Mus musculus: one gene and its partners. The protein of the gene in region 3 interacts with the protein of the main gene of each other region in a biochemical or structural test. Links are inferred from orthologs where the notes say so. Each region holds a gene or a part of one and is shown on either strand. Other genes may lie near its edges.

What was found.
Region 1: the proteins of Nedd4 (region 3) and Scn5a form a complex in vitro, tested with the Homo sapiens proteins (3 studies listed by BioGRID, with this or other methods). The link is inferred for Mus musculus from reciprocal best matches to the Homo sapiens genes NEDD4 and SCN5A.
Region 2: the proteins of Nedd4 (region 3) and Gabarapl1 form a complex in vitro, tested with the Homo sapiens proteins (2 studies listed by BioGRID and IntAct). The link is inferred for Mus musculus from reciprocal best matches to the Homo sapiens genes NEDD4 and GABARAPL1.
Region 4: of the proteins of Nedd4 (region 3) and Ntrk1, one has a biochemical effect on the other in vitro, tested with the Homo sapiens proteins (3 studies listed by BioGRID, with this or other methods). The link is inferred for Mus musculus from reciprocal best matches to the Homo sapiens genes NEDD4 and NTRK1.
Region 5: the proteins of Nedd4 (region 3) and Ube2d1 form a complex in vitro, tested with the Homo sapiens proteins (14 studies listed by BioGRID). The link is inferred for Mus musculus from reciprocal best matches to the Homo sapiens genes NEDD4 and UBE2D1.
Region 6: the proteins of Nedd4 (region 3) and Plk1 form a complex in vitro, tested with the Homo sapiens proteins (2 studies listed by BioGRID, with this or other methods). The link is inferred for Mus musculus from reciprocal best matches to the Homo sapiens genes NEDD4 and PLK1.
Region 7: the proteins of Nedd4 (region 3) and Rapgef2 form a complex in vitro, tested with the Homo sapiens proteins (2 studies listed by BioGRID and IntAct). The link is inferred for Mus musculus from reciprocal best matches to the Homo sapiens genes NEDD4 and RAPGEF2.

What each region holds. Positions count from the first base shown.
Region 1 is NC_000075.6:119,492,814-119,496,726, forward strand, and holds part of Scn5a (sodium channel protein type 5 subunit alpha), read right to left. Parts: intron 2,976-3,913; coding exon 2,694-2,975; intron 302-2,693; coding exon 248-301; intron 1-247. UniProt on the Homo sapiens protein: Pore-forming subunit of Nav1.5, a voltage-gated sodium (Nav) channel that directly mediates the depolarizing phase of action potentials in excitable membranes.
Region 2 is NC_000072.6:129,531,992-129,536,336, forward strand, and holds the start of Gabarapl1 (gamma-aminobutyric acid receptor-associated protein-like 1), read left to right. Parts: upstream 1-1,200; 5' UTR 1,201-1,455; coding exon 1,456-1,545; intron 1,546-4,345. UniProt on the Homo sapiens protein: Ubiquitin-like modifier that increases cell-surface expression of kappa-type opioid receptor through facilitating anterograde intracellular trafficking of the receptor. Involved in formation of autophagosomal vacuoles.
Region 3 is NC_000075.6:72,691,461-72,696,135, reverse strand, and holds the start of Nedd4 (E3 ubiquitin-protein ligase NEDD4), read right to left. Parts: upstream 2,839-4,675; 5' UTR 2,698-2,838; coding exon 1,270-2,697; intron 1-1,269. UniProt on the Homo sapiens protein: E3 ubiquitin-protein ligase which accepts ubiquitin from an E2 ubiquitin-conjugating enzyme in the form of a thioester and then directly transfers the ubiquitin to targeted substrates. Specifically ubiquitinates 'Lys-63' in target proteins.
Region 4 is NC_000069.6:87,788,274-87,792,186, forward strand, and holds part of Ntrk1 (high affinity nerve growth factor receptor precursor), read right to left. Parts: intron 3,472-3,913; coding exon 3,397-3,471; intron 3,173-3,396; coding exon 3,101-3,172; intron 1,413-3,100; coding exon 1,344-1,412; intron 501-1,343; coding exon 349-500; intron 187-348; coding exon 44-186; intron 1-43. UniProt on the Homo sapiens protein: Receptor tyrosine kinase involved in the development and the maturation of the central and peripheral nervous systems through regulation of proliferation, differentiation and survival of sympathetic and nervous neurons.
Region 5 is NC_000076.6:71,282,148-71,286,578, forward strand, and holds the start of Ube2d1 (ubiquitin-conjugating enzyme E2 D1), read right to left. Parts: upstream 3,116-4,431; 5' UTR 2,978-3,115; coding exon 2,954-2,977; intron 1-2,953.
Region 6 is NC_000073.6:122,158,250-122,162,617, forward strand, and holds the start of Plk1 (serine/threonine-protein kinase PLK1), read left to right. Parts: upstream 1-1,185; 5' UTR 1,186-1,293; coding exon 1,294-1,701; intron 1,702-2,286; coding exon 2,287-2,455; intron 2,456-3,257; coding exon 3,258-3,402; intron 3,403-4,143; coding exon 4,144-4,237; intron 4,238-4,368. UniProt on the Homo sapiens protein: Serine/threonine-protein kinase that performs several important functions throughout M phase of the cell cycle, including the regulation of centrosome maturation and spindle assembly, the removal of cohesins from chromosome arms, the inactivation of anaphase-promoting complex/cyclosome (APC/C) inhibitors, and the regulation of mitotic exit and cytokinesis.
Region 7 is NC_000069.6:79,142,925-79,147,552, reverse strand, and holds the start of Rapgef2 (rap guanine nucleotide exchange factor 2), read left to right. Parts: upstream 1-1,806; 5' UTR 1,807-2,637; coding exon 2,638-2,697; intron 2,698-2,743; exon of another isoform or gene 2,744-4,628. UniProt on the Homo sapiens protein: Functions as a guanine nucleotide exchange factor (GEF), which activates Rap and Ras family of small GTPases by exchanging bound GDP for free GTP in a cAMP-dependent manner.

The DNA of each region.
Region 1 (3,913 bases), about 47 Mb from region 3:
CCATCCACAGGCTGGGCTTTCAGGCCGGGCGGCCAGGAGGCCCACATACTGGTTTTGTTGTGGGCTACACACACATAGACACACACATGCACACGCATGCACACACGCATGCACACATGCATGCACTTGATGGCCTCACTACAGCCACCACCCCCCCCACACACACACCAACCCCACTGTGGCCCCATCCCTCCCACCTGGGTGACCGCCCTGCCTGGCTTCTCCCACACAGCTGGTGGCAACCTACCCCTCTGGAGTCCACAGCCGCATACATGATGTCCATCCAGCCTTTAAATGTCGCCTGTGAGGAAGAGACCATGAAGGTCATCAGATTTGGTGATCTGCTTCAGCTACAAAGAACTCCCATCTCAATTAGGCCAGGATCAGCCTCCTACAAGAAGCAAGCAGGCCCCAGCCCACCTGTTCAGTAGTGCTCAAAAGGCTGGGTGGCCTAGGGGAAGGCCTCAGGTAGGGGCTGGGGATGGAGGAGAAACACCATGAAGGCCATGTTAGCCTTCTCAGTTGAGGCCTCTTGTCTGGTAAGGCTAGGAGATGGTTCACTGCTCAAAAACATACATTTCAGACTCTAGACCCCAAGGCTGGTCTGTGTCCTGCCGCTCAGAGGACCAGCATCTTGCCTGTAATGACAGATCCTTTCTACCACTGTTCCGGTGAGGGACTAACAACTCGCTCTCCGGAAGGAAAAGAAAAATCCCTACTGTATTTGCCGATTTCTCTGATGTAAATGTTCCCAGCGCCGTGCTGTGACCGATGGGAAGAGAGGCAAGACCCACAGTGTTAACGCGCACACAGCACAGACGGCAGCCCCCCGGGCGGTAAAAAAGCACGCCAGGCTCATGTGTTTTAGCATCACTTAGTCATAAAGTTTGGTTTTCTCGTAAAGGTTGTGTTCAACAACCAGCTTGTATCATGTCTGCAAATGTGACCCTCAAGTCCAGTGAGCCGGCATCAGCAGAACCTAGCACACCTCACAAGGCTGCGGCCGAGAGGGAAGGAGGCTGCGTGAAGGAGTGGGGGCTCTGGCATTGGCTCTTCATCGTCTGTACAGTTGGGGCCCACTGTGAGAATTCAAAAGGAGCTCAGGAGACATTCGTGGTGGTGAGACCAACTTTCCAGGGGAGTCCCACTGGGTCCCCAGCAAAACCTAACCCTTCCCCAGGCCTCCCCTGGAGCCACAAGCTTGGTTCTGCCTACGCTCCCCCTCTCTCTTATTTTAAGGTTTATTTTTATATTTGCACACGTGTATGTCTGTGTTGGGGGTCTGCGCATGTACATAGGGGTACCGTACCCTCAGGCCAGAAGAGGGTGTTGGGTCCCCTGGAGTTGGAGCTAAAGGTAGCTTGGCGCTGTCTGACATGGGTACTGGGGACTTAATTCGGTGTTCTGGAAGAGCAGGAAGCACTCTCAGCTGCTGAGGCATCTCTCTAGTCCCACTAGTATTCTGTGTCTAAGCGTTCTCCCCCAACCTTCAGACAGGGTTTCTCTGTGTAGCCCTGGCTGTCCTGGAACTCGCTCTGTAGACCAGGCTGGCCTTGATCTCAGAGATCCTGCCTGCCTCTGCCTCCTGAGTGCTGGGATTAAAGGCAGGTGCCAACACCACCTGGCTAAGAGTTCTTTAATTTTTTTTTTTTGTTACTAAAGAGTAGTGTGTGTGTGTGTGTGTGTGTGTGTGTGTGTGTGCGTGTGCATGTGCGTGTAGGCCAGAGGTCAGTATCAGGCATCTTCTTCAATGGTTTTTCACGTTATTTTATTACATTTATGTGTCTGAGTGTGTACATGTGTGTTTACCATACCATTCATGTGGAGGTCAGAGGGCAACTTGCAGGAGTTGGCTCTCTCCTCCCACCGTGTGGGCACCAGGGATTGAACTCGGTCCCTAGGCTTGGTGGCAGCTGCTTCACCAGGCCTCTGTCAGCAAACTTTCACTGAATCTGGAGCTGGCTGGTCTGGCTAGTCTGGCTGGCCCGCAAACCCCGGGGCTCGTCCTGTAGTTACCTCCCTAGTGCTGTGCTTAGGGGCATGTGCCACTACAACTGGCTTATGATGTGGGTGTCTGGGATCTGAACTCAGATCCTCGGTTTGTGTGGCAAGCCCTTTACTGACTGAGCTGTGTAGGTTGATTTTTACGGCAGGTGTTATAACTACTAAACCATCCTGCCCATAAAGTAAATGGACAGTCAAGAGGACCGGCACATCAAAGATGAAAGCAGACATGCTCCTTTTGGGGGTCAAGGTGCGGTCTGAGGATTCAGGGCCGTGCAGGTGGTAGGCAAGTGCTGTACCCCTGAATCATATCCCCATCCCAAATGTAGTCTTTTAAGCAGCCTGAGACATTTTATGACAGAGGGTGGTCAGTTATAATTTCACCAACAGTTCAGTGTCTGGGCAGTTGGCAGTCTTTTGTATCTAGCCTGTGCCACCTAAAGAGGTCAACTCAATTGATGGCTGGGAACTGGTCCTATCTCATGCTGCCTTGCCCCCAGGCCAGTCACCCTGGACGATGTGTCCAATCTATAACTGAGAGTCTGAGGACTTGGCACAGAGCCACTACCCTGGGCCCTGTTACCCTACTGCAGGGACCACCTGGCCTGCTCCTGCCCATGCCAGGGTGAAGGGCAGATATCTGAAGCACCAATGGAGGAAGGGAGGGATCCCTGTTCTTCCGTACTCACCACCTGCAGCAGGGCCAGGTACCCAGCCCCCACGTTGTCAAAGTTGACTTTCACCTTGGTCCAGTACAACTCTCCAGTCACGTTGAAGGACTCACACTCGCTCTTGTTGTTCACAATGGTGTAGTTCAGAGGCAGGTCCCCTTCGGTCTGGTTGATGCACCTACCGAACTTCCCGGCGAAGAGGTTCACGCCCATGATGCTGAAGATGAGCCAGAAGATGAGGCAGACGAGGAGGACATTCATGATGGAGGGGATGGCGCCCACCAGCGCGTTGACCACCACCTGTGTGTGGGCAGAAGGAGACTTAGTTCTTGAGGCTGCCAAGAACATATGCCCTTTTCAAGACTTCGACCCCACTGCGTGGTGGCCACAGGTGGCTGTGGGGGTGCAGGTGGGGTGAGGATCTTCCAGTCATGAAGGCTAGAGCTCTGGTATCAAGTGAGGGAGTCAGAGAAAATCAAGAGGCCTTTTTTATCCTCTCCCTAAACGCTGAGGTAACTCCAGAACGCACCAACCTTCCCCCTTCCAGGCCCCCAATTTTCATAAAAATGGGGTCTCTACTTGCTAGTCAAAGCTGCCAGGATTGTCCTCGCATTGGGGTAGGGCAGGCTTAGACACAACCGAAGGCTTTAGGCCCTGTGTCAGTCCTGCACGTCCTGAATTCTCTGTGCCAAACTTCTGGTTTATTTCAGGGTGGCTGTGACAGGGAGAGGATGGTTCCCCTGAGGTATATCCAGGAAACCCATGCGCTGTGTCTGCAGGCTGTGGCTCCTGAGCCTCCATACGGTGGCTTCCTGACAGATACATCTGGGGAACTCCGGTCCAAGCATGGTCCAAGCCTGGCTGTCTATCACACAGATGGGGCTGAAGCTGGGCGGATTCTGTTATGGCACAGAGGGTCCGCTGCTGAGATGGGGGGATGACGTTCTGAAGCAGACAGCACAGCCCTGGAATTGGTGGGAAACCGTGCTCCCGAGTGCTCCCCAGGGCATCGAGCTTTCTGTGTAGTTTGCCCTTGGCTGGCACTGAAGCCAGCAGCCACATCAGAGGCATTCCTGGCACCTGGCATCAGTGTGTCCCTCTGGAATCAAGTGTCCTTGGCTCCCAAAGAGACGTTTAACTCTGGTCCCATCACTCCCTTGTGGGTGGGAGTTCCTGCCAGGACTAAGTCTAATTGGTGGTGCAGGTAAGGTTCAAAGCCATCACACAGATGATGGGCT
Region 2 (4,345 bases), on a different chromosome or scaffold from region 3:
TAAATACAACAATATTATATACCAATTCATTTGTCTTCATATGTAAGAAAGATTACCAGGAGAAAACCAAGAAGTGGGCTATGTATTTCATGTTCTTGTTTTGCCAGTTAAATTCAGTTCACTTTATTTTGCCCATATTTTATAACCATATCACTAAGTCATGTACATAAAATCAGGCAACAGGGCTGCTTGCCTGGTACCACTTAGTAGTCATTTTATTTTCACAGCACAAAGCATCCTTGAACTTTATCTCCGATGTTCCCAAGATATAGGTCTGGAGTTACTGCCAGTAGAATCAGAAGGGTGACCCCGCATCCAAAGAGTCTTAAGATGGAAACCCGGTATGTCAGAGGGGCCTGGGCTGACTCTCTCTATACTATTGAGGGTCTTCCACCAGCATGCCAGTCAGAGCTTTTGGTGCCCAATAAGGCCTTTTCATCAGGACAACTACCCTACAGGTGATACCCACCCCAGAGCAAAGTATTGTTGGGGAAACATAGACACCTAAATGATTTGACCTCTGTATTTTCAAGAACTCAACAACCATGCTTCTGGGTGAACCTTATAAAATGAATGGATTCATCTCTCCTTGAACGTGAGTGAAGCCTGGTGTTCATCGCTGGCATCGCTTCTTCTAACCTTGATGACTTCATGTTCTTCACCCTTACACTTCTTCAAATCCATGAGTCATGCTCTGTTTATGTTGTCTCAGAACCAATTCTAGCACAGATCCAAACATAAGGACACCAGTCAGAAGGAGGAGTTGGGGCAGAGAAGGCAGGCCAGTCGTGGGTGCCAGGCAAAGGTCAAAATGCAAGCACAGGACATTTCAGCCCGGGCTACAAATCTCGTGACGCCTGGCACTTTTCCAACTCCAGACTCCTGATTCCATTGCTCTGGAAACAGCTGGATTTTCTTCCTCTGTGTTTGTTTTGGGCATCAAACAAGAAACTTGAAGGGGAGGGAAGACGACATTTGTTAGAGCATTCTTTGAATTAACAAATTACCTTTAATATCAATCCTCAAAAATAAAAACCCGACTACATGATTTTTGCGTTTCGATGGAGTGGTTTAGGAAAAGCTTGGGTGAAAAGAAGATACACAAATAAACAAAGCTTCTGTCCACCCGGATCCAGCAGGTCCTTAGCGCCGGGGGCGGAGCGGGGGTGGGGCGTCGTGATGTCACAGCACCGCCCTGGTGTTTTTGTGTTTCCAGCTCTTGGGAAAAGCCACCCTATTTCTTTACCTGGTGGTCCTTTACCTTCAGGCCGCGAGATCTCCAGGTCCTTCTCTGGACGTTTAGCCACGTAGTGCGGCGACTGGCGCGTGGGAGCTGACGCGGGTGGAGCGATTGTGATAAGGCTGACATTGACTGGGGGTGGCCAGACGCGAGACGCAGTCATCAGCGCGCGCAGCAGGCCCCGTCCGGGGAGCCCCTACATCCTGAGGTCCATCATGAAGTTCCAGTATAAGGAGGACCACCCCTTCGAGTATCGGAAAAAGGAAGGTGAAAAGATTAGGAAGAAATACCCGGACCGGGTGCCGGTGAGTGGGGGCGGGGAGGGAGAAGGCAAGCTTGAGGAGTTTGGGAGCTGGTTGCCCTGGAGCTACCGAGGTAGCCTGGCGATGGCGGGTGGCCCTGGCACAGGAGGGTCATCGGAATCAAGTATTCTTGACCGGCTTTGACAAGCTTGTATCCCCAGGGCCTGTAGCCACTTTTGGCATCTCGAAAGCGCAGCGTGCGCGTGGTGGGTGAGTCAGCAGGATTCAGCACCCATGGAGGTTGGGATGTGCGCGTGGCGAGGCCTGTGTGTGCGGGGGCGACTGGTTGGGGGCCGCAGATAGGATATGCTATAGAAAAACGCGTCCCAACCCTGTAGCAGCAGGTGAGATGAGCCTTGTGCCCATCCATGTCTGCTCAATTGGTTCTCCATGAAAACGAGTCTCCTTCCCATTTCCTTGAGCGTAGGAGGAAAAACTCGAGAAGCCCCTAGATTCTGACCTGCGTTTTTTTTTTTTTTTTTTTTTTAGAATTGGGGGTGGGGTGGGGTGAGGGGCTTCACCAGGCGGGCCCTCAAACAAGGTCATGCCTGCCTCCACCTCATTATTGTCTCCTGGGCCATGTGTGGAAAAAGAAGGTCCGTGCTCTGCACTGTGATAGGTGGGTGGGCTCTTGGATCTCAAGAACCAGTACTGAGAACCGTTTCCTCCATTAATTATACCCCGATTTAAGCAGCTAATACCTAGTTCATGCAGTGGGGAGAAAAATACTAAGGGAGTCTTCAGCATCCGGGTGTTTTCCACTTTACCCCCTCCCCCGCCCACTTGCCTTTTTTTTTTTCCTCCTCTTTTGAAGGCTGCGCAGCAGAATTGGAAGCAAAGGATGACATCGCTTTTAAATATGGTGGATAGAGGACCAGGGACTTTAAAAAATCGTTCTCTTTATTTGTACAGGCAATGATGTTATATTAGGTTGGCGTTCCTCTAACTTTGAAGGGTAAAAGAGCTGTGCTAACCTGATAATTTTTTTTTTTGATGCATAAGTAATAGGGGGGAGGGACTTCTTCCTTATTCTTTATCTCAGCCAGGGCTACCAGAAGAAACGGAGGTCCAGCAAGAGAAAGCCCTCAGCCCCATTTTCTACCCTCAGCCCCATTTTCTACCCTCAGCCCCATTTTCTATGAGGAAGAAGAGAGCTAACTATTCCACCATTCTCCAGAAATTACATATACATGGCTCTTCCAGAACGGCTGGGCACACTCCAGTCATGCCTTCCTACTACACAGTCCTTCACATGTTATTTCCTTGAGCTCAGGACTGTGGAGGATTGCTTTCAAAATTTCTCTCAGTTTGTCAGCCCCACTTAATATTTTAAAATTACACATGGACCACACAGCTGGCAGCACTCTGAATGCCTTGTCTGTGTACTCACCGACTCTCGTCACAGCATTAAAATCCCTGTGCTAGAGACATGCTCTGAAGCACAGGGCAGTGAAGTCACCACCCACAGGTTTGACATTGCTGACTGGTGGAGGAGAATTCCAGCCCTGGCTGTCATGCTTCAGGGCTTCCAGAGCCCTTGGGCTTCCAGAGTTTTGTTTTTGTTTTTGTTTTCCAGTTTGTAGTACAGTTAGATGAACGCCTTGTAAGGTTGAGCCCTAGAAGTAGGTTAACACCTGCTGCCATCTGGAGTTCAGGTGGTAGTTGGTGCCAGCCAGGAAACTTAAGTGAACACCTACCCCCATTATTCAGAACTTTAACAGAAATCCGAGCTGTGACCTGCAACTGTTTCCAAATTCAGCTAAAACCTCCGTCCTTCCTCAAGACAGAGCCCCCTCGCATTCAGTTGTGTACAGCACTCACCCACAATATTGCAGTTTCTCTGTATTCTCCTGTTTGTGACTTGATGCTGAATGTTTTACTTCAGTGATGATTTGTAAGCCAAGACACCTTCGCTTAGATCTCATGGATCCCTGGATTTCACACCCAGATGGTACCTCCCAATCTGAGAGGTTCTCAACCTCTCATCTGGTTGTGACATAGAACCCTGCTGAGATTTGTGTGGGGGTGGGAGTGGGGGCAACACTAAAATTGGAACCCTTTGCCTGGTGTCTTCTCCATGACTGGATTATAACAGGAGTTCTCCTGCCTTGGTCACAGGGCCGAATCTTCCTATGTTCAGGTATTTACAGGAAAGCCGCTAAGTTTCTAAGGCAGTCTGACTCACAACTTAAGCTTGGCCTCTTAAGAGGTGTGCGTGGGCCTTGGGAGAAGGGATCATGGGATCTTGAGATAACCGTGTGTTGGAGACCTGTAACAGCAGGAACTGTAGGACATACTATTTTTAAACATTTGTAAACATCCCTATGGTGTATGAGCCACTGCGACAGATGCAGAAAACAAGTCCCCTCTCCTTTTGGTTGGAGTTCCAGGACTCAAGAGTTCCTGTGGTGAATACCAGGGCTCCCTGTTTCCTGTGCTCTGTTTGTAACCTGCCTCTTTCCTTCCTCTTTTTTGGTCTATTTCTTTTCAAGTTCTTTTCTATTTCCCTTGAAGCTTTGGATTCACGTCTGTCTACCCAAGCATTTTCTTGTACTTGTTTGTATGGTATCTGGGGGTGGACAGGTATGTGGCTTGATGAAGAAGCTCGAAAAGGTCGGAAACACACTGACAGACACTCAGCTTCTAGGGATACTTGTCCAGTGTTGTTTCTGCTTCTTTGCTTTTGTGTATTTCCCATTTCTTATCTCTAAGATGAGATTTTCAAAACAAAGAATCTAATGTTAATATTCTTGTCAGATATTTTCTGTTCTCTGAGCCACTCTGTAAACATCACCGAAGATTT
Region 3 (4,675 bases):
TGTCTCTGGACTATTTCTAGAATTCTTTTCAGATTCATAACTTCTTAGGTTTCTTTGAATGTAGACTCTGTGAGTAACATCGACTGAATTGGCAGAGTACTAATGCTGCTTTAAGGACCCAGCACTTTGGGGAAGAGAATTAAACCGATTATAATGTTCCAAAAACTGTTTTAGAAAAATTTTGCAAGTGGAATGAATAACTCTAAAACAAAGATCAAACTTTGAAATCTAATCTTCTCTTATCCCCAGTGAAGTAGCTGCGTAGATTAACCTTGGGTGGACACAATGATTATATTTTCCAGATTTCAAAAGAGAGAAAAAAGAGCCCAATTACCTAATTTTCTAACTCCATCTGTCTAGACATTATCTGGATTCCCCCCACACTCCTCCAACATTTAATACAGGCATTGCCATGAAAAGAAGCAAGGTCCCTTCACAAGAAAGAAATAGAGCACGCCAGCCAGCATATGTGTTGTCAATCTAGAGCTAATGTCGTCAGAAAAACAATTAAATTTCCTGGAATTTTGCAAAACCTTCCAAATACAGACATGGTAAAGGCTACTTTAGTTTTAAAGATTGTAAATAATTTGAAAAGGCCAAATTACATAAAATGCCAATCTGGCTAAGATCTGTTAGAGCTAAATTACTAATAAAATAAAGCAACATTGTGAGAACAATAAACTAGTGTAGTAAATTGAAAATTATAGAAACTACCTAGTACGTTTAAGCCAATTCAAACACATAAAACTTAGAAATCAATACTGCTGAAAAAGTGAGTTACATTTTGGGAGACAGCGATCACTGGGAACTCAGGAAAAATAGGGTGCAAACAGCATTCCTGTGGCTAGGGTGTATGTAAATGCAAAGCCCACTTACTTTTCCTCTGCTTGAAACATTCAATATAATAGTCTTTTTGATCAGCGATCTTACAAATACATGTGTTTTAAGAGGGAGAAGAAAATCCCATTTCTGAAGGTAAGAAGAACAAATATCCCAAGATCGAGTGTTATGACATCGAGCCAGTTCTGGAAGAATTTTAGGATTTAAATCACCAAGGAAAGGTTTTTTTGGTTTTTTTTTTGTTTGTTTGTTTTAAAAGTAGTTTATCCATTGGTAAAATAAGAAAGAGCTTTACAAATATAAAATTGAAGCTTTCTAAAAACTTCCTCACTAAGGGCCACAGAAAGGAACAGATAGTGCTATAATCAAGTATAATCAGTATAGCTAAGAATTCCAGGAAGTATTTTTTCAAGACCAGAGGAATCTTACCTTACAAACATCAGACAGTTCATTTGTCAAGTCTCTCTGTCTCCAGAAACTATCAACTTTACCATCATTCCCAGATGCAAACTTAATGAGCAACTGAGATGGTCCCCCCTTTGAACAATTGTGCTTCAGGCTGGATAAGCAGGAAATATTTGGGTATGTCCCACCCAGCGAAACACTTCTTTGCAAAGCAGCATGGCCTTTGCTTATCGGTGAATTTGGTCTTTCCAACTCTCCACGGATGTTTAAATGGTAACCCATGTCTGATGCGGTTGGCAAGCAAGGGGATGCCCTCTGTTTGAGCATGCCATGGTCCAAATCAGACTGCAGCTGAAGTTCTAACCTCTCTGATGTGCAGCCACCACGGGGGTTTGCACAATCTGATGTCGTTGGTTTTTGTTGGGTCAAGTGCACGGAAACACAGGAAAATCCTTCTGGCAACTTCTCACACACAGTTTGTTTGGGCCTATTATTTGAAATGACAATTTTCTTTTGCAATGAGCCCTTGGCATGGAGTGGCCGTACATCTCTGACTTCTCCAGGAGTACAAACCATTTTAGATAATCGAAGCCCGTTGACAGCTGTTGACAGAAAGCCTTTGGTGCCAGATCCATCTTCATGATGTGCAGTTTCAGTAGGTGATACAACCAACTGGTGTGAGGTCTGGTAGGCACCTCTGCTCGTCGGGGATGCTGGTGGGGTGTTTGAAGGACTCCTGGGGAAAATGACCAAAGACGTGCAGCGCTTCAGTGGACCCTTTGCGTTCCTACTCACTGGCAGTTTCATAATCTCTACTCCACGATCCAGGTCCTCCTGGGCAAAGGGAAGTCTACTGGGACTTCCGCACATAACTTCACGGGGTGTAGTGTCGACTGGCACGCTTCTGTTGGAGGCGTTGTCAGAAGGTAAATTTCCACTGAAAAAGGTCTCATAGCCACTACTGTCGCTGACACCACTGCCGGTGGAGGAGCCTCCACTTGCGAGGCTTGCACAAGACCCACAGTCACTGCCACTGCTGCTGTAAGACCCACTGTCACTGGCTGAGAAGTTACTGAGGCTGCCATTGTCCAGCTCACTGTCAATTCCACTGCTGCTGCAAACATCATCCTTTGAAGCACAGGTAGAGGAAGTACTGTCCCTATCAGCCACGACAGTGTCAGATGGAAGACACCCTCCGTATCTGGGCTGCAGTGAGATCTGCAGGCAGCTGCTCTTTTTGTCAGTACTTTCAGAGGATCTATGCTCTACCCACGGAGCCTGTGGCGCCTGTCTGGGGGTCAGCCTCATTTGAACCACACTAGCCACTGAGATCCGGGGCCGCCTCTGGCCGTGTGTGTCAACGTGGCTATCCAAGTCATCTCCAGAGGGTTCCGACAGAGGGTAAGTCTTGCTTCTTCTGGCGGCAAAGTGCAGTCGTAAACTCTGTGCCATTTGTTCTCATTTCCAAGCATGTTCAGGGCTGAGAGTCAAAACAAAGAGCTCTGTCTGTAGTCAGGCTAGCGCAGCTGTGCTGCATCCAGAGGAAAAAACCATCGGCGGTGTTGAAAAAGCTCGTGGGGAGGCGTCTTTAACTTCAGATACCAGATTTCATAGAAAAGGACGACCCATGCCCGAGATTGACGTTCCCCAAGTGTCTAGAATCGCCGGGAGTCAGAACGCCTTCACTGACAAAGCACTTGATTTCCAGCGACCTTTAAGCTGAGCTCAGCTGCAGCCCTGACTCAAACACAGCCAACCTTGTTTCAATTATACCTTCGCCAATTTGCATGAATGAGTAACGCAAGAACAACAAGCTTCTTCAATTTCAACTGGGAAACCTAGTTTTTCACCCCAGCCCTACAAAACGAACATTTAACTCCCGAAATCTCAGTGCCTACAACTTCCCCCGGTGATCCTCACCGCTAATATTTTCACTGAATGCTATAGGATTACAGGAAATGGGTACAAATAAAACCTGTGTGATTGAGTATCAAATTAAAGATTGAATTTCAAAATATGGCCATACTGAGAGATTTAGTCAGGTTTAATGCAGGGACTACGCGGACTGTAATATTTTTTCAGGAATGAGTAAATGAAAACAGCTGAATAACTTGGAAATACAAAAACGTGGGGTGAGGGGCATAAAGCCTAACCGTCAAATTGAACAAGGTAAATATTTTAGCAAAACACAATTATGAAAGTGAAAGTTGACAAACTGAACTACAAAACGAGCCCAGTAACATTGTTGTAAACACCAAATAACCTCCTCAAGGGGAAATTTTTAAAAAAAGGCTGAGGAGAAGCTGTCACCAACCATTTTGTCCTGTAATTTTAACGTTTAATGCAGCCAAGTAGTACAGTCTTTAAATGATGCCATTTATATTTTGACTATTAAAATCCTGCCAAGAAATAGCCTGGGTAAACATTCCATTAAAAACATATGCAGATTAGACAGAAAAGCTACACCCCAATATAGTCTGAACACATTGGATATTTTATTCCACTGTGTGCAATTCATTCACTTAAAGAGAGTGTTGTGGTAAGTAAAGAAGCCTAAAAAGGATTTAACACATCAAATAAACATATCTCAATGGCAATCCTGTTCTCGGAGAGTCCTCTGCGGGCCCTACTGGTGCTTTAAAACAACCCAGGCAGCTGTTAGACACCTATAAAGACAAGACATACAAACCAGGCCACATATTTCATAATATAAACAAGGCAGGCCCTTGTTTACATCTTTGCCCACTAGCATGGCCTCTGAGGTAGAATTACGAGTACTGATAAAACTCTCACAGCAGAGAACAGTAGACGGCTTGTCCTTCAGAGGTGGTGATTCTCTGTATATATAGATATATATTTCTGATTTATGTTTACATAACCTTTACTGTATTTTCAGCTTACTCGGCAATAAAGGCTTAATATTTTAATTTCTCTCCCAAATGTCACAGACCAAGGTTGGTATTCTATTTGAAAGAAGCAAATTTATTTTTAAATAATACTCTAGGGTATATTTAAACCCCTTACCTGAATTTTATAGCAAGAACTCCAGCAATAAGTATATACTGGCCCATTCATAGCAAAATAGTTGAGTTATTTACACTACATGGCACTACACCCAAGCTGTATTTTTTCTAACTTAAGGGTTTTTTTCCTAAGTAAAAGCAAATGTGTCAAACATATACTTTGTTTAAAAAAGAAAACTGCTTAAGTCAGATCTGTTTTGAATTCCAATTTTCTAACAGTATTTTTAACCAGTTAACCATAACAGACTGGAATCTGTTAGGTTTTGTTCGACTGAAATGGACATTACCCTTGCTTAGCCCGTTATGCCTTTACAGACTTCAGGAAACACTGCCGTGTATTACGCTGCTTCTGTATGGGAGCAAAGTCCTAATCTGGTTTCTTCTTCTAACTTTTTTTTGGATTAAGT
Region 4 (3,913 bases), on a different chromosome or scaffold from region 3:
GCCTGGTCCTTTGTCCCCTTGGAGGGGCTGTGAGGCTTCTCACCTTCACGGTGGCTGCCCCTTCCAGCTCTGTGAGGATCCAGTCAGCCTGCTGTAGGGCCAGCCCCTCCACCTGGCACTGCAGAAACACGTCATCGCCCACTTCCACAGAGTCATTGGGCATCTGGATCTTCACTGTGGGTACACCTGCCACCCAGGGTACGGAGGGGCATTAGAACCTAAGTGTGGGCTGATGAACCCCACCCTGCTCGTGAGCCCCAATCTATGGACCCCAGCCTCCAGGGTCCATAGCCCCTGCCAATGCTACCCCAGGTCCCCCCAGGCTTCCCCCTCTACAACAACACCTACCACAACTGGTGTTGTGTCCCAGTGGGAGGAACTGGTCTCCAGGCCCAGAGTCATGAAGCGTCTGTGTATGCACACCACACAGCCCTTCCTGCTCCCAACGCTGGAGCCAGAACAGGGCACAGGAACAATGCAGTGGGTTCCCTGACAGGGTCCTGTTGGGTAGGGGGTGCTGAGAGTCAGGGAAAGAGGGTGCGACAGGTCTGAATGGCCAGGAGGCAGTGTTCTGGAGATGGCTGGCTACCAAGGGGTCTAGGCAAAAAGGGTGGGGTTTGGACCAGGCCCATAACCAACACAGTAACAAGACTTTAGTTACTTTAGTTAAGTAAGGGCAGACTGCTGTGGATGCCATCTGAGCATCGCATGGGACTCCTCTACCCCAGCTCTAGAGCGAGAAGCCAAGCAAGATGGGAGGAAGGGTGGGTCACCGTGGCACACAGGCCTTAGGTACCCATCACACACATGTGGACAAACATGATTGGAGGAAGGGTGGGTTGCCATGGCACACAGGCCTTAAGTACCCATCACACACAGACAGACAAGCATGATGGCAGGAAGGGCAGGTCACCATGGCCCACAGGCCTTAGGTACCCATCACACACATATGGACTATTCTATGTATCTCCCTTCCAGTGTGTGTGTGCTCTGGGAATGGGGCTGCTATCCTCAAGCATCAGGATGGCCAGAGTCTGTTCAACACAGCCCTGAACCTCTGGACACACACATGCTACTCATCCATATAGACTGCTCAGACCAGACCAGACCAGGATAGTCCTGCAGGCTCTACTTGGATGGGGGTGGGAGGGGCGTGGCTGACAGGCATGCACATAATTGCCAGTATAAGCTCCCAGACACAACACAGTCTCCAGAGATGCCCCACCTCCCACCCCTCCTCTGTTCCACAGAGACACAGTTGCATATAGCCCCAGGGACATGATCATGCACAGCCACACATCACACACACTGGCCCCTTGCCTTGCCCCTGCCCACACACTCACAGGTCCTGTAGGGAGAGGCCCTGCACAGTTTTCCAGGAGAGGGACTCCAACGCATTGGAGGACAGATTCCTGTAGGAGAACAGATGCCCTGAGCCAGCGACCTTACTCTGACCCAGTCTGAGGCAGAAGTCCAAAGGAGACCTCTATCCACCCCGTCCCCAGGCAAGTCAACTTGAACATCGTGCTACGCCTGAGGATGTGTGGGAATGTGGGAATGGGGTAGGCAGGTAAGTCTTTCAGAGTACAGACTTCTCCTTGGGACAACAAGGGTTAATCCCAGTTAACCCCCTCCCCGACCCCAGGGAGAGGGATCCAAGGGAACAGCCGGTTGCCCTGCCCCCACACCTCAGCCCCAGCTGGTGAAGTGCTGAGGCCACAGCTGGGGTAAGGGGCTCCATCTGTGCTCCCCACCAAGGAGGAGGGGAGGACCAAGGCTCTCACAACCTCCTCCCCCACCTAACCTCAAGACAGGGATGTCAAAGTACTTCCTCAGGCCCCCAGCCCTTCCTTCCTGTTCCTCTGAGAGAATTTCCAGTAGGCAGAAACCCAGGGACATAGTTCCCTAGGTGAAAATGAAGAGAGAGCCCAGACAGGGCTCTCTTCATGCCTCTAGGAAAAACTGTTTGAGGAACTCAGTGCCGACCATACACTGCTGCAGCTCCCTTGGGGGACCATGCCCTAATCACTCGCCTTGCCTACCCAGCCTTGACTTTATAAAGATGCAGGTCCTGGGACACCTGCAATACTGCCACCTGGGGTTGAGTGCTGCACCTGTCCAGCCATGTGGAGTCATGTGACCTCAGTCAAGAAACAGCTAATTCCCAGAATTTTCATCTATAAAATGGGGAGCATATTTTCTCTGTTTCCCCAGTTGCTCTCAAGTAGTCACTGCCATGAGAGACGTGAACTGCCACCCAGCACACATTTTAAATTTCTTTTTAAGTTGTTGTGGTGTTGTGTTAAGACAAAAGGATGGCCTGGAACTTGCTGTGTAGCTAAGTATGACATGGAACGTCTGATCCTCCTGTCCCCACCTCCCCAGTGCTAATATTACAGGTATGTATCACCAAATTGGTTTATGTGGCTGTGGGGATCAAATCCAGAGCTTCATGGATAGTAGGCAAATATTCTACCAACTGAGCCACATCTCCAACCCTAGGTGGACATTTTAAAGTCAGGACATATACTGTGTAACACAACATCACTCTTGTTAAATCCCTGGATCCAAGTGAGAGTTTAAAGGACTCAGCCCAACTCTGTGAATGACAACCCAGGGAGGGACTACCAGGGACTCTAAGCGCATCTTCTACCCACTCCATGTCCCTCTGTCTTCTGAGAACAAGTAGCTGTAACTCTCAGGAATGGGGAGGGGGAGGAGTAGCAACCAGAACATACCACTTCCCACACTGGCCTTATGGACCAGCCCACAGTGCACCTCACAGCAGAGGAGACGAACTTCTGATCAGAACCAGTGGTCTTGCCCCTGCCCCTCACACCCTACCAACCCCAGGCAGAGAGCCCGGATGGGTACTTGTGAGAAGTGTCCCTGAGGCATGGATCATAGAAGCGAATCAACAAAGATTCCAGCCTGACTGGATGAGAATCAGAACACCGAAGCAGAAAGAAATGCCCTAAGGAAGGGAGACCAGGCTGGACCTTCCTCAGGACAGTTCCCTGGGGAGCGCAAAGCCCATTCACTGCCCCAGGCTGGAGGTCCTCCTCAGCCCCGCCCCCTCCAATCCAGCCTGGCCACTCACAGGTGACTGAGCCGAGGGGTGAAACGGAAGGCATCTGGGGCCACAAAGCGGAGGCCACTCTTCACGATGGTTCTAGGGAAGGGATGAGAGGAATTTAAGCTCTGCATTCTGCCCACCCAGGCCAGACACCTCTGTGGAGCTGGGCACCCCTCTCCATAAGTTACCTGGACCCCTCAAACCCCTGAGCCTTCCAGACCTCTCCCACTCTCTCCCATATCGGATTTCCAGATCCCGATATGTGTGGGCACCCACCACCCTGTGCCCAGTCCCACCCTGTGTCTACCCTTGGTCCTCACAGGCTTCTCAACTCCCCCAGGCCCTGCAGGTCCTCAAACTCCAAGCGTTGCAGGTGCTGCTGGTTTTCCACGTAGCTGCAAGAAGAGGGGAGAGGGGCGAGTCACCAGGGGAGAGGGGTGGGTCACCAGGGGAGAGGGGTGGGTCACCAGGGGAGAGGGGTGGGTCACCAGGGGAGAGGGGTGGGTCAACAGTGGTCAGGACCTCAGTGGAGTTACCCTGTGCCCACAACCAACCCCCCTCCCTCACATGAGCATATGCACCAATCATCACACACAGACCCACTTCACACACCCATTCATGCACATGCCCCCACATGCTGACATGACTCACAAGTCACGCATGTGCATGCATGCACGCATCCCCCCTCACCTTTACACACATGCAGCCTCTCACATGCCTCCTGCAACACAGAGGCAAGTGTACAGAAACACACAGGGGTGTCCTCAGACCCTTACTGGAGGACACACGTGAACAAAGCTCACATAGACTTCTCCCATGCACATATAGATGAGAAGA
Region 5 (4,431 bases), on a different chromosome or scaffold from region 3:
TAGGCGGCTGTAATAACATCTTTCTCTATGTCTAAAAATAGGCCACGGGTGTGTAAATTTATGAGCTGAAATGCAGAACTGGCACAGGGTGTCTAAATTAGAGCATTAAATCCTTTAGTCTACTCCAGCATGGGGATCTATTTGAAGCGCCTATGTCCACACGCTTTGTAGAAAGACAGTTTTAATCCAACATCATCTTTGTTCTTTTCATAGGTGGAGAAATGAGAAGCTGTGACCATTATTCTCAAATGTGCCAAATCACTTCTCAAGAGATTAAGCCTGGGAAAAACTCGTCCCAACTCCCGCCTCAGGTTCCCTCTTTGAATAAAGAGAACAGAGGAGAACATCAGGGCTTTTGACCTTTCCATGTTAACCCCACCTCAACCTGGAGGTTCAGCATCTTTCCACTGGCAGCCCTGGGCTCTGCTGTGACTCTGCTCCCTGCCCTAGGGACTGTCTCTTTGCCTGCACTCTTGGCTACACCACTGCAAACCTGGAGTTCTATGAGCTTTGAGGCCTGATACTTTAGGTAAAGAAATAGCACTGCCCAATGGCCTGAAGTTTTCTGATTGCTTTAAAAGATACTCAAAAGAAGAAGATGGAGGAGGAAGAAGAGGAGGAGGGGGGTAGGGGCTTGAGAAATGGCTCAGCAGTGAAGAACATTTATTACTCCTCCAGAGGACCCAAGTTCAATTCCCAGCACTCACACTAGACAGCTCACATCACATCCGCCAATGGCTCTGGCATCAGGATACCTGATTGTCCTCTCTTCCTTCTTCTAGCCTCTGTGGCCACCCTCACACATGTGGCACGTACTCACAGATACGCACACTAAAAATAAATCTTTTTTTTTTTTAAGGCCAAAGGTGAGCATTGAACTCAACATTTGAACGTGATTCAAATGAGAATCTGAACACAGGATGTCAGAGGGCACTGTAGCTGCCCCCGGTGCAGCCTGTCCACCCTAGACTTGGTTCTAAGCAAGATGACAGGCAAGGAAGGAAGAAAACGGGAGAATCAGCTGGTGGGGGGTGGGGGGGAAGGGGTGGCTGGCTTGTATGACTGATGTGATTTGTGGCAGTCAATGACAGGACTATAGGATCATGTGACCTCTGGTGTCTTCTCCAAAATACCAGTTTGTCACAGATTCCCCATCAGCTGTATTTAAGGTTATCTTCATACTAGACAACTCTGTTTAACACACAGTATCTACTAAACAAAAGAAAGGAAGGAAGGAAGAGAGAAAGAAGATGTGGAAATTTGCCATATTAACATAAGTCAAATACACAGGCTTAGCATGAGCAACAAGATGCATCAAGCCTACACATAAAATAATGTCTTATTTCTCTGGATGGATATATACTATAGATAACTCCTTTGGTATCTAAGAGCTACTGTGTGTGTGTGAGAGAGAGAGAGAAAGAGAGAGAGACAGACAGACAGACAGAGACAGAGAGAGACAGAGAGAGAGAAGAGGAGTGCAAAGCCACATGGAAATGCTTCACCATCATGAAAGGAAGCAAAGTTTGAAAACTTCCAAATGGGAACCAACAGTAGATTGGTCGGCGTTCAGAAATCGGCACGGTAATGACGATTGCAGCTTCAAAATTAAGCTTGTTTATATGGTTAAAAATAAAGTGCCACCGTGTTATCTTCAAACGAGAAAACGTCATTATTTAATAAACGCTGATCTTAACATTTTATACCGAGTTGACCTTCAGCGGCACAAAGAACAGCGATGATCTACACAGCTAAGGTTTATTAAAAAAAAAAAAAAAAAACAAAAACAAAACAAAAACAAAAACAAATAAACAAAAAACAAACGAAAATTTGGCTGCGGGTAAAAGTTGCTGTCCTCAGTACCGAAAGATGCCTGTTTCCTACCACTCTAACTCAGAACATTTTCAGTCAAGTGTAGCTGGAAAGGTTGATAAAACGTTTGGGGAGCCAACCATTTCTTGTGAAATCAATTACCAAACACATTATCCACTGTTGGCGCATTTGCTTCTAAAGCGATCCCAAACACCACGTTCCCAGCAGCAAGGACTACCGCTGTAAAATGTTAAAAGATACTTGAGATAGGGGACAGGCCAACAAGAGAAGTGGGTGCGGTAAAGAATACAAAGAGAGGGTTGGAACCGATCCTATGTAAGGACTGACTGTCCCTTCGATTGTCTTCCTCATTCTCTATTCACACATCAAAGCATCCAAACAATTTAATTTGTGGTCCTTAGTGTTGTGTCTTCAACTCTACATCTAAGTTTATCGTGAGGGTGTGAAGAAAAAAATACAAAACAAAACCAACAACCTGCTTAGCTTACCTAGCCATGAATCACAGCCAGGAGCTCATCTTGCTGTGTATCAGCAACTATGTTCTCAGTACAGCTATGTGACCTGAAGTGGCAGCTGCGTGCAGAACCACCAAAATAGCAGGGGCAAGAGCTCTCTGCTGGCTCCTCGGCCCCAATCTCGCGTTCCCAGCCCTTTCCTCCCACTGAGCACCAGCCGACTGCAGAGCCCAGAAAGACCCAGCCCCACGCTCTGAGAATAAAGGCCGTAGGCCCACCACACCTTCCCTGCCCTCTCGGGGAACCCGGGGTGCGAACACAGCAAGGAGGGCTCCGGGGACATTGTGAGGACGCACAGCGGGATAGGGGACGAAGGCCGCCCGTTGCAGAGCAAGCCCCGGCCCAGCGGGGATGCACACACCCCGGGACAATCTGGCCACCCCACGGGCACCCGCACCCGAGGTTCTAGGCTCATCCTGGAAAGGGCACGACCGGATCGGGTCGCCCCGAGGTTCCAAGTACCCAGACCTTGCGGATGCACGCCTCACCTGTGCGGGCCGATCCGTACCCCGGCCTCCCCAGTGTCCGCGCCCCTCCCACACCGTGCGCCCCGGGTTCCTGGGGACATCTTGGGGACACCCAGGCCGGTTCTGGCAGCCACTCACTTTCTGGATCCGCTTCAGCGCCATGGGGCAGGCGGCGGGGGCTGCGGAGTGTCCGCGTGTCCCGGGCTGCCGCCTCGCAGGGCTGCTCCGTGTGCGCCCGGGCGCGGTGCGCGAGTGTGCGGGCGGCGGCGCCGGACTCTTTTGTTTCCGCCTTCGCTTGCTGGGAAGGAGCCTGCGCCCTCCCCGCCGCGCCCCGCCCGCCTGGCACACTGGGAAGTGTAGTCCCAGGCTCGGCCTCTGCCGCCCGCGCGGACGTCGTCCGGTCACCCGTGGGTGACAGCTGCGACCAGGCTGCTGCCGCTCCCTGCAGCCGCTCTGCAGAGCAAGGTCTCGAATCTGCAAAAACCCAGACAGCAGGTGAGCTGTCGCTCCTAGGAGCTGCTGTGAACCACGGCTCGCTCCTCCTCGCACAGACCCTGCGGCGGATCTTAACTTCCTTTGCAGATAATTCTGACTCTTCCCCGCTCGCCCCTGAGGGCGTGAGGAGTCTTCGTCAATTGTACTCCACCTTTCTTTCTTTCTTTCTTTCTTTCTTTCTTTCTTTCTTTCTTTCTTTCTTTCTTTCTTTCTTTCTTTCTTTCTTTCTTTCTTTCTTTCTTTCTTTCTTTCTTTCTTCCTTCCTTCCTTCCTTCCTTCCTTCCTTTCTTTCTTTCTTTTTTTTTTTTTGAAACAGGGTTTTCCTTTATGTCTTTTTGTCTCCACCTCCCAAAAACGGGATTGAAGACAGCTTTCCACACACCCAACCGTTACGTGGTCTCTGGCATCCGAACTCAGGTCCTCAGGCTTTGCGGCAAGCAGTTTACCCACTGAGGTGTCCTCCAGCCCCTTCTCAGTTCTTGTGATCTCAGATCTTGCTTGTCCTTTCAACCATGACTTCTTGGCTTGGCACCTGCAGGTCAGTCTTGGATTTCTGACGGCGTTGGTCAGTCTTAGGTTTCTGATGACTAAAGTCAATCCATTCCTTATCTAAAATGGTTTTGAATCCCATATTGCTTCTCAAAACACTCAACGCTCACTGTCGCGGCTTCCACAGTGTCTCTGCAGCTGGATCAGCCACATCTGGGAAGTTCTCTTCTCCGCCTTTGCAGTGGTCCACAGAAGACCAGCCCCACGCCCTCTGCAGAAACTAGAGATGGGTTGCGGCCCAGAAAGCTTCGAGGGACTGTGCTTTGCAGAGGTCCCCTCAAGCAGTCCTGCTCTGTCTGCATATTGGTCTACTTTCCTGTCCATCCGCCCCCCCTCCCCTTGTGTGTGTGTGTGTGTGTTTGTGAAATTATTTCCCAGGAGCTGTACTCCTTGTTTTTTGAGACAGAGTCTCTCACAGGGACCTGGAGCTCACCTATTGGGCTAACCTGGCCAGGTATCTGCTGTCTTTACCTGCTCAGCACTGATTTTACACACAAGCCCCACCATGCCTACATTTATGCTTGCTTGTCAACACTTTATAGACATTGTCTTCCCACTTATTATTATTATTA
Region 6 (4,368 bases), on a different chromosome or scaffold from region 3:
CAGGGGGGCAAAGAGGGTGTCTGGGAACAGTGACCAGAGCTGGCCGTTTTTTTCTATGAAAAGCCACACGCCTGCTCTGTGTGGCCACTCTTTTTACATGTTGTAAATCCATTTTTTTTTTTTTTTCGAGACAGGGTTTCTCTGTATAGCTCTGGCTGTCCTGGAACTCACTTTGTAGACCAGGCTGGCCTTGAACTCAGAAATCCGCCTGCCTCCCCAGTGCTGGGATTAAAGGTGTGTGCCATTACGCCCCGGCTCATTTTTTTTTTTTCCTAAGTGAAGGCTGAACGGACACTTCGGCAGGGCAGACTTGGCCTTGGTATACCGGCATGCTAGCACTCTTCTAACCAGCTACCCCCCCACCTCTGACTAAAAAATTAATTTTTTCTATTTGGGGCTCTGGGCCACACAACTTGGAACAACCCAGGTAACCTTGCATCGCGGGGCAGACGTCCGGTGTTTCTTACATATCACAGGGCATAGGAATCATCTGAAGGTCTTGTTTGACCGGCAGGTCATGCCTGGGAAGTTTCTTTCCTTTGGGGTTAGTGGAGCGGTAGCTGAGGCTGATCTCGGCTAACTTGTAATCCTGAACCCACGCCCCTCCTTTGCCTTCTTAGGGAATTCCAGGTGCTGCAGATGCTGCTGGCCTCCTGCGTTGTTCAAGAGAAGGGTTGAGTTACTTCTCAGGGGCTGGGAGCCCCTAGTGCCACAGAGGAGATCGGTCCGTTGCGCCGTGAAGGTGCATCTGCCTGCTGAGCTTGCTCAGTTTTGGGTTTATTTAGGCTAGCCGGGGAGAGGGCTGTCCACCGCGGAGGCGGTGCACTCTCAAGCTACCGGTTGGCCTGGAGTTTCAGTTCTAGAAGGCCGGGTCCGGTGGAGGAAGGTGTTAGATCTTAACAGTTAGGAGAAGCCCCTGGAGGAGGCGCAGGTGAACCACATGAGCACGCCCCAGCCGAGGAGCAGAAAGCAGGACAGAATCCTGTTCTTCTAGGGATCTTCACGTAGTTGCTTCGTTCCTGGTTTCCCAGGCAATCCTGAGCAAACGCAGTCCTCCAGTCCCTGCCCATTAAAAATTTCGCCGGCAAGATCGGAGTTTAAAGGCGGCTGCGCCGTAGAGCACTCCCATGGTGCCGCGCGCTGGGCGGGTTTGTATTTTAAATCCCCGCGGCCAATCAGCAACGCGCAGGCCCTTGTAACGTTCCCAGCGCCGCGTTTGAATTCGGGGAGGAGCGGAGCAGAGCAGGACCCTCTGCACCGACTCAGCCAGGTTCGTGGAGCAACTTCGGCATCATGAATGCAGCGGCCAAAGCTGGAAAGCTGGCTCGAGCACCAGCCGACCTCGGGAAAGGTGGGGTTCCGGGAGATGCAGTTCCCGGTGCCCCAGTGGCCGCCCCGCTGGCGAAAGAAATTCCGGAGGTCCTAGTGGACCCACGCAGCCGGCGGCAGTATGTACGGGGGCGCTTTCTGGGTAAAGGAGGCTTCGCCAAATGCTTCGAGATCTCAGACGCAGACACAAAAGAGGTGTTCGCAGGCAAGATCGTGCCTAAGTCTTTGCTGCTCAAGCCCCACCAGAAGGAGAAGATGTCTATGGAGATCTCAATTCACCGCAGCCTAGCACACCAACACGTCGTAGGCTTCCATGACTTTTTTGAGGACAGCGACTTTGTATTTGTAGTTTTGGAGCTCTGTCGCAGGAGGGTGAGTGTTTCAGTCGCAGTGCTGGGGCTCCCACACCTGGAACTTGCTGACAAAGGGGCACCGAGGTTTTGGAGTGACCTAGAGGAGTGGTTGGGTTTCAAACTTTTATGGAAAGGCTTCTAGCGAGGGTACTTGGCACTCCGAACTGCTGAGGCCGGGGTTCTGGGGAAACCGAGACCAGATCCTGTTGCTATTAGGGATGGAGCTCCCAGACGCAAGGCAGCGAGTCGGTACAGGAAATGGATTCATAAAGTGGCTAAGGAAGGGTCCCAGGCTTGGTGTGCCACGCACCTCTAACTTCCGGAGTGGGGCAGGGTCGGGGGAGGGGGCGGCTGTTTGGAGTCAGATTTTAGAGCTTTCAGGAAAGGGAGGGAATCTCCTGCCAGGAGGAAGCCCTGGGTAGGGGAGTCGAGAGTGGGGTTGAGAGAAGACTCAGGAGAGGGTCTGGTGAATGATAGTGACCAACCAGTGTATGGGTAGAACTATCAGAAACCTGCTAAGACTCTCCACTCCGAGCGTCTAGTCCTAGCCACATCCAGCTAGCCACTCTTCTTGGACTTCAGTGACCTCTTTCTCCCTCCTCAGTCCCTCCTGGAGCTGCACAAGAGGAGGAAGGCACTGACCGAGCCTGAGGCCCGCTACTACCTGCGACAGATAGTCCTGGGCTGCCAGTACCTGCACCGCAATCAGGTCATTCACAGGGACCTCAAGCTGGGCAACCTCTTCCTGAACGAGGATCTGGAGGTGAAAATAGGTGAGGTGCTGGGCCTTCGGGTGTCTGGTGTCAGGGCAGGAGGGGACAAGGAGGGGAAGGTGAGGAAATAGAGATGCTGCCCTCTAGTTAGGAAGTGGAAAGTGTGTGTGTGTGTGTGTGTGTGTGTGTGTGTGTTTGTGTGTGTGTGACACTTTCCTTGCCTTTTTTTTAGATGCATTGGTGTTTATGCCTCAACTCAGTAGTTTTGAACTTGGGGCCCCTCCCCCAAATGCTTCTCTATAACCTAGCACTGAGCCAGACCCTCAGCCAATTTCAGGTCTGGACTTACGCTGTAGAGTATGGCAGGCAGCATCTCCTCAGGTGTCTCTTTACTAAGCTGAAAAACCTGCCCCCTTGAGTCTGATTGGCCAGTCCCTAGATCCCTGTCACTTCTCCACACACTTGCCCAGCAGCAGTCACGAAGATCATCTACTTGATTCCCCAGTGCATCTAATTCTGCTATCCTGTGCATTTTAAATTTCATTTACTTATGAATGGAGACAGGCTAACTTCAAGGAGTCAGTTCTTTCTTTCCACTGTGTGGGTCCCAGGATCGACGTAGATCATGTTATCAGTCTTGGCAGCAAGCCCCTTTACCTCCTGAGCCACCTTAACCACCGTAACCCTGCTATCTAAAGAGGTGTGTGGGAGGCTGGCTAGGGCCAGTACAGTGGAAGGGTTCAGGGACTCTGGGGCCTCAAGCCACTAGTTCTCAATGCTCAGGATCAAAACAGAGCTGCCTGCAACCACAGACAGCCCGGGCTTAGCAGCTGAGCACCCTCTCTTCTTTCCTCTGTCCCAGGGGATTTTGGCTTGGCAACCAAAGTGGAATATGAAGGGGAACGAAAGAAGACCTTGTGTGGCACTCCTAACTACATAGCTCCTGAGGTGCTGAGCAAGAAGGGACACAGTTTTGAGGTGGATGTGTGGTCCATTGGGTGCATCATGTAAGTTGGCAATGGCCTTGGCTCCTGGGCCTCAGCAGGGCTTTCTGAGGCTTCTCACCCAGTTGACTTTGCCATGTGAATCTTTCTACCTTATAGAAAGGCTGTTTTAGTGGACAGGCTGTCCCACATGAAACCCTGCTTTTCATATATCAGTCTGGCGTAGGCTGTTGGATTCCTGTAACTTGACTTGTTGGTCCAGGGAAGGGATCAAAAAGTCCCTGAACTTTTCCTCCTGGCCCTTGGTGCTTACTAAAAGTATGCACAGATCCAAACCATCAACACCTGAGAGCTTGTTAGGAATTCAGAATTTCAGATCTGAACCTGGGTTTAATACAATCCCTGCCTGACTTTCCATGGAGCATTGGAAGTCCTGCTGAGTGCTGAAGGGAGAACTAGGCCAGTAGAAAGCCTGGCGATAGGCAGAACCACCACGGTGGCCTGTGGTGGATAGCAGTGGCCTCTGGGGCACTGGGAGAGTCCTCGGTCACTGTAGGCCAGAGCCGTCAATTCCTGGCCCCTTGGTACACAGGTGTTGTCACTTGCATCCTTCTGAGGGCTTGTCCCAGCCTTTGGTTGCTGTGTCACTGGACTGACTTGGAGAGCATCCCCGTCCGTTCCCAGTCAGTAAGTCCAGCACAGCTCCCTTCCTTCCTACGGTCCCCAGACGATGACTTCTGCATTTGGATTTCCCTTGGAGTTTGAACAACAACAACAACAACAAATCCCTTCTTGTACCCCCAGGTATACCTTGCTAGTGGGCAAGCCTCCCTTTGAGACCTCGTGCCTAAAAGAGACCTACCTCCGGATCAAGAAAAATGAATACAGTATTCCCAAGGTGAAGACCACACTTCCTGTTTTCATTTATATTCCAGCCAAAAGCTATTTACTGAGCCCATCCTGGGGACAGAGATGAGTCAGTCCTACTTCTAGTATAGCCACGGAGAATGGTGTATGTCTGATGCTGGC
Region 7 (4,628 bases), on a different chromosome or scaffold from region 3:
GAGTGTGTAAATCTTGGAAGTCAGGATGATAGAGTTTTTTTTTTTTTTCCCCTGTCCTTTGGTTTGGTAAAATGGCACATTTTAGTCTGTTTGAGGAACATAGAAGATGGAAGATAGGTGTGAAATGATGAGGCTTTGATTTCAAAGAGCTTAGAAATGAATATGGCAAGTGTGTTGGATGTGTAGTGTACACAATGAATCCAGACTGTTGGCTTTTTTGGGGGGCAGGGTTAAAGGCCAAATAATAATTCCTGGAAGGGGATGATAGCAGCAGAGATGAAGAGAAACTTAGATGAAGGAAAACTAGAAACAGTGTAATGGATATCAGGAGGAACGGGTGTTGAACATGCTTCAAACATGTATAACCCTGTACCAGATCCAAGCGGCTTTTTATCTGCATAACATACAGGATGGAAAAACAGGGAAAGTCGAAAATGAGGAATTCTTGCAAGATTTGGTTGTGAAGTGTGGGAAGAGAATGTCTGTAGACATAGGAAATTGTGTCTAAGGAGGAATCTAGTTTAATTTTGCCTTTGAGGTAGGAGAGGCACGGACGTTTAAAAGTTGACAGGGCAGATCTTTGGTTGGGAGCAGTATGTTCAAATCTGTGGCGATTAGGTAATGAGTAATGTAAGAAGTGTAAGAAGTGGGTGGGAGGCAGGGAGAAGAATCTCCCATCATGATTGGAAAGAATAATTGCCTTTTGTTACGGAGGGGAAGAGAGAAGAGGATGGATACGGTCTTCAGATAGACAAGAGACCCAGTAGGAATCCCTGACAGTGCCAAAGGCCACTGTAAGAGATGACATGTTTTCCATAACTGCTTTCTGTCCTCTCTTCCATTCAAAAGTGTAGCTGCTTGTGAGAGCTGATGGAAGTGTCTTTATTCCTCGTCAGCTGTAATGCAGCCTCCTCCCAGGTAACCTGTGTGCGTAGGTGAAATTAAGACCGTGGGAGAATAACATTTCTTCATTAATTTCAGTTCCACCTCTAGAAGTTTGGTTTGTTTAAAAAAAAAAACAACCCAGGTGGTTTATTATAATATTATTGACACGACCATATGTGCATCTGTGCGTGCGTGCGTGTGTGTGTGTGTGTGTGTGTGTGTGTGTATATGTGTGTGTGTGTGTGTGTGTGTGTGATTTCATCTTCTAAATTTAACAAAGCTTGCTAAGCCTGCATTTTATAAATTTTAAGACAGTCTTATTTACTATGGCACAATAATACTTGAGGGTGGGGCAGAGGTCACATTGATTCCTTTCTCCCCACCTTGGTTAAAAAAAAATTCATATTTTAGTTCAAAGCTGTTCAAGTAAGTCCTTGCTCCGTTTTCCCACCCTGTCTTCAGTGATATTATTTGGAGTCAGCAATCAATGGATTCCATCCCTCTGAGACTTGCTTAACCTACAGCCGCTGATATAATACAGGCAAGAGCTTGTTACTTTATCTGAATTGTCCATCGCTACCTTAATGAGTGAAATGGTTAAGTAGAGGAGGGGGCGAGCCTTAAGGAACGTGTGTACCGTTTGAGCTGAATATTTCAGCGTATATGGGGAGAGGGAGGGAGAGAGAGAAACCCACTTACATCACTAGAACCTCAGCGAGTGTGAGGCTTGCAGGTTAAGAGACAGACTACAGTGTCTTGCTTTCTGCGGGAAGCAGCAATGCCGTTTGTTTCCTAAGAGGGATTTTTTTTTATTTAGAAAAGGAAGCTTTCTCTACCCAGGAAATGGCTTTCCTTGTGCGTTGCTATGCCAACTGCCTGCAGCCATGGTCCTCCAAAGTAAGCACAATAATGTAATTATATTGGTGTATTGCATTCAGACTCATGATTCTTGAGATTGTGTGTGTGTGTGTGTGTGTGTGTGTGTGTGTGCATGTTCCATGTTTCTGTCAGTGACTCCGGCTAGCAGGCATGCTTGTGTTGAGTGTGAGGGACAGACATCATTAAATTAAATGTCCATCAGTGTCATACTGCTGAGATTAATTGTGTAAACTTGGTTAGTGGAGTGGGACAGAGATCACTGGTCACCACTGTCAGCATCATTAGCAGCTAGGGAGGAGGTCCTGATTCACACGCTCTGCCCTGATTTTTTTTTCTCTTCCTCTCTTTTTTTTCCTTGGTTGGAGGGGTCTGTATGTGTGATTGCAAATGAAACAAGAGTGTTAACAATGCTTGGCTGAATGCTAGAGACTAGCTTTTCACCACCCTGGCTAATATAATTCTGTATTAAGCCTTTTGGAGGGGAGTCTGTGTGCAGTCAGCCATTTTAGCTTTTTTTTCCCCCCTTTTCTTTTGCCTCTTGTTCTTCAGCCTCAGAAATGATCTCGTTCTATCAGAAGCCTGAAGGCTGGGTGAGGTTCCCTCAGCCTTGTCAGAGCCTCCGAGGGTTAGAGTTTCAGTGTGATAAAAATGGAGCCGAGCCCTGTCGTTCAGATTCCTTTTCTGTCTACAAGTGTGAAGGGTTTTTAGGCTCACCAGTAGTGACACTTTAAGCTGCAGCCTGGTTTTCCCTCCTCCCTCTTTTTTTTTTTCCTCCCCTCTTTTTCTTTTAATTTCATGCTGTAGAGGGTGACTTGCCGTCGTGAGAGGTTGGTACATGATGTGTAAATTCAGTTCAGCATATGTTTCTTCATTATGAAACCACTGGCCGCGCCTGCTAACCATGGAGTTCTGGGCCAGCAGGAGAAGCAGTCTGTAAGTATCCAGGCGCTGCCGGCATCGTGGGCTGCCTGGCTGGGGGGCAGGCGATGTGGGGAGCAGGCAGGGAGTTCTTTTCCATGGAGCGTTGCTCTTCTCCAGGGGAAGCAGTGTTTTAGAGGGTAGAGAGAGATCCTCTGCTCAGAGGAGGGAGGGAAGGAGGGAGGGAGGGTGAGCTACAGCTCACTCATTCTTCCGATTTTCTGTGATTTCTGAAAATCTTAAGCAAGACCAACAGTTCATTTAAACAGGACCACTAACATTGAGAAATACTAGACAGCTAATTATTATTTTTTTTTGTCATTAGAAAATAATATAGTTTTCAGTAAATGCCCAAGCAGTTTGAGAAACCAGTTTTGGTTGAATTTAGTGAATCATTATAAGAGGTTCTGGCCCATGGGAATCTGGCAAGGAATGCACGTGGAGGTGGGTGGGAGGGTGGGGGCTCTGGCTATTGATTTGGCAATGAAACCATCGGTGGTACACTTCTGACTCCTTAACATTTGTTAATTGGTGGTGAAAGCACACTGTATTGTTTTAGTGCCACAGGAAAGATTACTGCTCCTTTGTAATTGGTCCCATGAGTCAGCTGTGCGATTGTCTTGCTGAAATCCCACAGGCAACAACTGCTATTTGTGAGAAACATATTTCTGTGTCTAACTCCAGGTCAGAGCCTCCTGTTCCGGGAATATGTGCACTCCTGTAGTGCGACTTTTGTGTCACCATGTTACAAGTTTTTTGCCGTTTTGCCAGTTCATGATATTGACATATATATGTGTGCATATGTATGTATGTGAACACATATATGTATATGTATGTGTATGTACATACACACATATATGTTATTCTCCTTATAATGTGCTCAGATTTAGGTGGGTGTATAAGCATTTTAGAACTGTCTCCTTACATATCCTAGACCTGTACATTATGATATAGGAGTTAGTTTTAATTTATTGTAAGAATTGATGCAGTAGTGTTGAACTTTAAAAATACTTATAAACCACTAAAGCCTTGGAAATGAGTAAGTAGGATGCCATGGATTAGAGTATTTGGTTTCGGTTTTGTCATCAGTAAGTGATGAGCTCTTCCGTTGGGTGCAGGGAAGTTCCTTAGATGCAGTGACCCTGAGGAGGTGAATGAGCCTCCCTGGCAAATTCCAGTTCCGTGCCTTGTCCAGCCCTATCCTGGTCGGGTTCTAGGTGTGTTTCCTTGATGAAATCTCTTCAGACCTAATCTAGAAAAGAGCCACCATATGCCTCATTTTCCAAAAGAAAGGTTGTCAAGCAGAACTCGCACTGGAGTCTGATTTTAGTGCAGGTCTTTGGCGCCCAGCTCCATGGAGTTAGTTAGAGCTTCCAAGGAAAGAGTAGAGTGCCTCTTAATCTGCACTCGAGCGAGGCGGCTGCAGAGATTTAGCTCAGAGGCTCAGAGGCTCACCGTGCACCTTTCTCATGTAACCGTTCCCCAAGTGGGAAGGGGTAGCATTTAAATTCCTAATACACGTTTAACAATGAGAATTATTAAAACCATTGATGGGTCAGGGAAGCGACACGTGGATTTTGTGAGATGCTAGAGCTGTTGGAATGGAGAGCACTAAGCGCTGCCCATCGACCAGGAGGCAGTGCTTTGTGCCAGACTTGAGTTTGTTTCCTAATAACTACTTCACATTCTCACCAGACAAATGAAGTGTTAGGATTTGCACCCAGAGCTCAGAGTGCAGGGCATGGGCAGCTTGGGATTCTGCGGTCTGGCTGCTGGCCGTCGTCCAGTTCATTCTGACTGACATGTGTCACTTGGCCGTCGGAAGGGGGAAAACAGCTCAGGTCCTCAGGCAGTGGTGGGTCAGCCCATGGTGATAACTGCAGTGGATAAGCCTTTTTTTTTTCCCTCCTATAATGCTGTATCATAAAAATGTCACAGCTGACTTC